2 linked regions of the Danio rerio genome follow. The protein of the gene in region 1 purifies or fractionates together with the protein of each later gene. This does not show direct contact. Links are inferred from orthologs where the notes say so. Each region holds a gene or a part of one and is shown on either strand. Other genes may lie near its edges.

Region 1 (3,500 bases):
TCTGATGGGTAAATCTGATTGCTTGGTTATAATGGAAGTCAATTGGACAAAAACGGCCACCAACAAAACCAAAGGGTAGTACATTTTAACAGTACATAAGGGTTAATTCGATTAATCACCCAACCCTAGCGTCAGTTGAAATAAATTAGTTAGGTAGTTTGTTCACCAGTATTGATGGGTGGTAGTTTGGTGCAGGGGGCAGGAGGAGCTGTGTTTGCCCAGGAGCACGAGTCCCGCACCGACTTCAGCTTCTCCTGCTTCAGGTGTGTGAGTCTGTGGGCCGGGCCGGCGTTCTTGCGCAAATGAAGGCCCAGGATTCCTGTGGAGACGGTGGAATCCACAATGGGCACGTCATCCAGGGCACTCAGATCTCCCACGCTGCCCCCGCTGAGTCCCGCCGGCTCTACTCCACCGCCATGGAGGCTGGCACTGCCAAGCGGTGACGGCTCGCTGCTGCATGATGACTGACCACCAGGGCTGGACTGATACATCTGAGGACGGAATAATAGGAAGTTTGATTATAATATAGGAGATCGATGGAGAGAATGCATACAGTGTTCAGCATAAATGAGTGAAGATGAACATTTGTATGCTCCAGTTTTGGCTTCATGACTTATTAATCTAATATAAAGGCACAAATATATTATTGCATTATCATATAGATCTCTGAGCTTGAGATCACAGTCCAATTTGCACACTAATAACACAAGAGAAACATTAAAAGTATATCATTTAGTATTATGTTTATATTCCTAAAGATGTTTGGTGAGTAAACTCATATTTCATATGAAGGCACCGTGTCTGGAACAGGATCTGGAAACGCAACTTTCATCGGTTCTCTTTCAAATAAACTAGACAAAAAGTGATGAACATGCACCCGCAGCACCGGTTGCTTTCAGTTTGAACAGATTATTAAATGGCCTAAAGTTAACCGTGTGCATGTGATCCTTTCATTATCACACACGGTATGTTTCACCTGCTTTTATTTGCTTACGGTTTTATTTGCCTTTTTAAAATGGTTTAATTATTATAATTTTTTAACAACATTGCTTTAATGCACTGCAAAAAATGCTTTTCTTAGATTTTTTTTTTCTAGTTTCTAGTCCAAATATATAAAAATTCCTAAATCCAGAAGAATTTTCTAGACAAGCAAAACACACGGTCTCATTTTGAGAGATTATATGGCAATATTAAGTGAGTTTTTCCTTAAAACAAGCAAAATAATCTGCCAATGGGGTAAGCAAAATAATCTTACGTCAAAAAAAAAAAAAAAAAAAAAGATTAATTTGCTTACCCCATTGGCAGATTATTTAGCTTGTTTTAAGGAAAAACTTACATTATATTGGCATATTATTTCTCAAAACAAGACGATATGTTTTGCTTGTCTAGAAAATGCTTCTTGATATAAGAAATTTTAGATATTTAGACTAGAAACAAGACAAAAAATCTAAGCAAGAAAAGCATTTTTTGCAGTGTGGGAGATTTATGTGCAGTCAACTGGTGATCTGAGAGATCTTTAGCCACGACACATTACTGTGCATATTTTTGATACATGACAATAGATATTTTTTAAAAGTCAATTTCTTTTCTTTTTATTTTTTAAGAAATGTTTTGTTAAATAAAAAGTATAGGATACAGCTATATTTAGCTTGTTATGCCACATAAAAAATTTGTGGCTAAGAAATAATTATTGTTTCGTGTGGTTATAGAGATAAATTTGGTAAATCGTTAATTTTGAGCTCTAAAAAAAGTCATGTGAAATAAAAACTAATTGCAATATAACACCCATTTAAAATGACCCATTTTATCATGCTCATTGAGCAAACTCATACTCGACACACAAAAAGAGAAATGAATGAGGACGCATGACACAAAATTTAAATCAAGTCATTTTAGCATGTCAAAGTCAAATTTATGCATATAAAATATATTTTACCAACAACAAAGATGTGGCTGGTAATAATGCAGAGTGGCTAGTAACATTGGAAAACTACTAGCCATGGTGGCCGGTAATTATAAAAGTTAATGTAAAGCCCTGCCTACAATGCATACAGTGCTCAGCATAAATGAGTGAAATTGAACATTTCTATCCATTTGATATAGTCAATATATTTTGGTGCATTTAAACACCAAAATTTAGTTTTATTGAATGGTTATATTAATTGAAATAAGAGTTGTCACCAAACATCCTTAGGAATAGAAAGATAATGTACATGTTATTGCAAAATAAAGAAATAAAACAGCTAAATAAAATGTACAAAAAATGTTTCACTTAATTTTTTCATGTTTATTAAAATACAATTTTGTAATATTTTTTTGCCCAACAAATTCATTTGTTTGTGCTCATTTGATCCTCATTTTTTTTCCGTTAGATTAGTTCAGTTTTGGCTAATGCATATGCACAAATATATTATCGTAAATCATCCTCTAGAACATTAATTTAAAAGAGGGATCTGTGAGCCTAAGATCACAGTTTAAAAATGAGTTTAAAACAAAATAAATCAAGAGAACGATTAAAAACATAATTTAGTTGAGATTTTGTAGCTTGTTTTTGAGTTAAATTCTTTTAGTTTCTATTGCTACAGATATTTAGCAATATGTGACCAATGGGGGCTCATTCTGAAAAAGTACCACTGTATACATTTCTGGAGAGCTCCAAATACGTCCCAGGAGCTACATTTTGTTGCAGTTTTTGTTTTCACGAATCCACCAGAGGGCGTTGTGTATGCTTTTTCATATCTCAGTTTTCTTGCCATTTGTCCCTGCTGTCCTCATGTAAAGCCACCAGAGGCTGCTGTCGACTGACTGACTACTCCTTCGCCCACCCACTTCTCTAAACCCAACCAACAGTGTTTTAAAAAGCAATCCAGAAAAAGAATTCAAGTCCTCGTCTGATTTTTACCACATTTTCAGATTTTTACTACGTTCTCACCCTTTTATTTACTTGCTTGTTTTATTTTTTGGCTTCTGTTTTTTGTCTTACTCCCTTTCTGGAAGTGTTTTTCGACAAACCCAAACCTCATCGTCGTGGTCAACCACACTCTGCGTCTCAAGTGTGTAAATGTACATGGTGAACTAACTGGGCAAACTGATAACAGCGGTAAAGCCGGCCATACGGAGATAACTGTCGGCTGGTAGCACGAAAAGGAACGACGTCATACCGCCCTGTAGCGTTAGTTTTAAAGACAAAATGCAGCCCTATGTACCTCTGCCTACATAATTCGCGATCTCCAGAAATGTACACACGGGTATGTTTTCAGAATGAGCTTGTGTTGCAAGCCACTTATTTTAATAAACGTAACTGTTTAGTAAAGCAATTTTGTTTAAACGCACTAAACAGTATAGCCTATATATTTACAAAAAAAAGATCAAAATATTGATTTTCAGAAAGAATATATACTCGTTTATACAGTGATATAAAACTTGTCACATCAAGTCCAACACGACCCTCACAATCATATAATAAATTAAGAAAAACATAAAAATATTTAAAATTTTGT
Region 2 (3,500 bases), on another chromosome or scaffold:
AGAGGGACTGTATTTAAAAGATATTGTGCTAAATGTTAGCATTTAGGCAGATGCCTTACTGCTCCTTTAAAACATCTATAATAATTGTGAAGAGTAAAGCGGAATACTTCATGGATTTCACCTATAGCAGGCTATTTTTAGAATGTAACTCCTGCAATTAACGAGCAACAACTGTACAGGCATAGTAGAATATATACAATATTGTATGGATATTGTAGAATAAGTGGAGGGATTTTCTATTTTTTACTATTTTGTCTATTTTTTCTATTTTACATCCCTTTAAGAATAGTATTTGTGATTTTCAGTTTGTGCATAAATCTATATTGATACAGAAAAACAAAATCCCTGCTTGAGACACTGTATTTTAATCAAGCTGGTTTGTTGAGCCGTTCTTAAATTGCATTTGTCCTTAGCATGCCTCACCTTTGTCCGACAGTCTGCGTGGCTGTGCCCCAATGCAAATGCTCCTGCTGTCGTCCTCGTCCTCGGGAGGTCTGCTCAAGTCATCCCAAGCACACTTGGCACTCACCCCACTCAGGTTAGAGCCATCCGTCTCGATGCCCTTATCCACTCGTTCCTGCTTTGGATGAGCAATCAACACACGCACATATCAGCAGGGGAGAAGCGTGGCTGGACATGTGTCCGTCTCAGTGTATAGAGCAGAGGACTAACAGCAGGTGGAGGGGTCCAGTTTAAGAGGCCAGACTTAATTACAAATCCACCTTTTCAATGCTGAAGCTTCACTGTGTGAGTGTGCACAGTGTGAGTATATTTTCATTTTTGGGTGAACTATACCTTTAAATCACCAGGAATTAAAATTGTGTGTTACTTGAGAGATGTAAACTGTGTTAAGGGAGTAAAGGTGGCAAATATTTCAAGGAAAAGACCATTTTAGCTTGGATGAGGCACTATATCTAAACAGGCTATACTCTCAACCCTAAAGTGTACATTTGAAACTTTGTTTAAAGTACATAAGTAGTGTAAATTGCAAAACAAATTAAATATCCAATATTTAACTTAAAGAATGCAAATACTGCATTAGCTTAATAAGTTAAAATTATTCTCTGATATCTACATAGCAGGTTTATGACGTCAGTAAATTTAATATATATATATTTTATTCTCATGTTTTGATCCATAAAATAGCCCTAGAATCAGAAGGTCTATAACTGACCATATATGGATCATGTCATGAATATTACTGAGCTCAGCACTGACCTGCTTCTCTCGCAGACATACACACCATAGACTAAACAATATGTAGTATCCGTGACGTCACCCATGGGTTTCTGAAGAGCGCAAACAAAGCTAAAAGTGGGCATGGCCAATCAACGCCATTTTGTTCGGGCGTCATCCCACCAGGCGTGGGGATACCAAAAAGGGCAAAAATGACGGAGCTACAGACCCATGCTATCATTTTGCTTAGACAGTTTTTTCATTAGGAGAAACGTTAAACACTTCATTATACCTGCGACACGTTTGTGTTCTGACCACATGCGCTTGATTATCAATCAGATTCTGGAGTGCAAGTTCAAGTAATTATAAATGATAAATTATCCTTTATAAACAAATACATTTATAGATATGGAATATACAAGCATATAATAATTTCACTCACGTGGAAAATGGAGGCGACTTAAATGGTTTGAGCAGAATTAAGTGCACAGTAGTGCAACAATACAGTTAGCTCACGGTTCAATACATACCTCAGTTTTTTAACACGGTTTTTGGTTCGGTTCTCATGGCTTGACACATGTGTGTTTTTATTATTCAATAGGCAATAGGGACAGTAAGAGGTAAGGGAGAAAAAAATATAAACAGTTTATTGCAATACTTATTTTGTTTTACTTAAAAGCCAAGAAAAGTACACTAGTTCCTAGTGCATTGTATAAAAAAATTAACACTGAAATCTCACAGCTGCTGGTAGCCCATGTACAAACTGGGGAATCCTACATTTAGAAAATAAACATACATGTGAATTAAATAAGGATAAATTGGTCATTTTAAATAAACATATTTGTTCTTAGGTAAACATAAATAAACCATCCTAATTATCTCGGTGCTGAAAAAATGCGAGACTGTAGTCTGTAACACGGATCGAGTGCTTTTATAAAATGACAAAAGCCCACATCTCCAATCACCGAAAACGGCTGCAAATCTTAAGCAACAAACACCCGCACTGCCTTAGTTATTTTTATGTGTCTCTTGGAACCAGTTGGGTAGATTCAGCGAGGGAATTGTTGCTATTTGGAGGACTTTATTACCTTCTCTGCTATCCTGCCTACAGACAGTGATATTGCTGGGTGATGGCGCTGCAGATGTGCAGTCATGGTTATACGTGTAAAACAATGCTTGCGCACAGTTATTTTTTGTTTACCGTTTTCTCTTTTATTGGCATTATGCTTACCAGCATTTTCACTCCAGTTTAAATTTGTTTTCTATTCGTTTTTTGCTGTTGTTGTTGTTTTTCAATAAATATTCAATAAAAATATTTTTTAGAAAATTTAAACAAGGTAATACTGAAAAAGCTTAGTTTTTTTCTTAAAAAGTTACTAATATTAGTAGTAGTGGTAGAAGTAGCAGTAGTAGTGGTGATAGATTACCCTTGTCCAGTAGAATGTGCTCTATCTCTGTCCAATTTACATTTAAGTTAAAGCAAACTTTTATTCAGAAACAAAGACGCTGGCTATTTTATTTTTTTACATAATATAATGATAAACTATAATAATAACAAATCGCTTATGAAGTGATTCAGAAGCGCATTAAAATGCAAGAAAACGAGAAGCCTCGCCTTTTCCATGCAGTTTTAGATGTGAAATGTGAACGGCCTCTTATGCAGCCAACTCTGTTTTTATGACTGAATTCCACCAACATTTTTTGCACTATGAAAATCATAGGGCTGTAAGCTTAGGAACATCATTATAAGTATTTTTATCTGCGAATAAGCTATTCTTTTAGCACCATGCACACTACAAAAATCCTTACTTGCAAATGTGGATCAATGTCAAATATGGATTCTCCTCTTCTCATGTCAGTGATTAACCATGGACCTCCAGCACTGCAAACAAACCAGAAGAGAAATCAAACTTCATTTCTGAATAATGAAAAATAAGAACAGCACAAAGCATCCCAGCCAATTTGAGCTCCCTCGTGCCTTCTATAAAGCAACAGCATTCAAAATCCACTACTCTTATCTGCAATTTCCACAATGCCCCAGCACGAAAAAATAAATGTAGTAAGACACAAATGCAGTGCCCTAGACTGAATTCAACAACCTTTGTAAATATAAGCAAAGAAAGCTGTGTGTTGTTCAACCTTTTAATCTTTTGCTAAAAAATAGTAATAAAAAATGAAGACATTTGAGTTGGTTTTGGATGAAAGCAGAAGCTTTTTCTTAAAGCCATTTCAAATTATTTGTGGTGATGTAGGTTACATCAAATAGTCAATCTTGAGTCAACCAAATAACTTCTGCAATTCTCCAGCTGTGAATCTTTGGATAT

Evidence for each region. Proteins that work in one complex are often made in the same cells at the same time.
Region 2: the proteins of gli2b (region 1) and sufu purify together in Homo sapiens (affinity purification with mass spectrometry; 3 studies listed by BioGRID and IntAct, with this or other methods). This does not show direct contact. The link is inferred for Danio rerio from reciprocal best matches to the Homo sapiens genes GLI2 and SUFU.

Annotation. Positions count from the first base shown.
Region 1 is NC_133186.1:46,393,157-46,396,656, reverse strand, and holds part of gli2b (zinc finger protein GLI2b), read right to left. Parts: intron 492-3,500; coding exon 167-491; intron 1-166. UniProt on the Homo sapiens protein: Functions as a transcription regulator in the hedgehog (Hh) pathway. Functions as a transcriptional activator. May also function as transcriptional repressor. Requires STK36 for full transcriptional activator activity.
Region 2 is NC_133188.1:12,265,192-12,268,691, reverse strand, and holds part of sufu (suppressor of fused homolog), read right to left. Parts: intron 3,059-3,500; coding exon 2,986-3,058; intron 581-2,985; coding exon of another isoform or gene 578-580; coding exon 424-577; intron 1-423. UniProt on the Homo sapiens protein: Negative regulator in the hedgehog/smoothened signaling pathway. Down-regulates GLI1-mediated transactivation of target genes. Down-regulates GLI2-mediated transactivation of target genes. Part of a corepressor complex that acts on DNA-bound GLI1.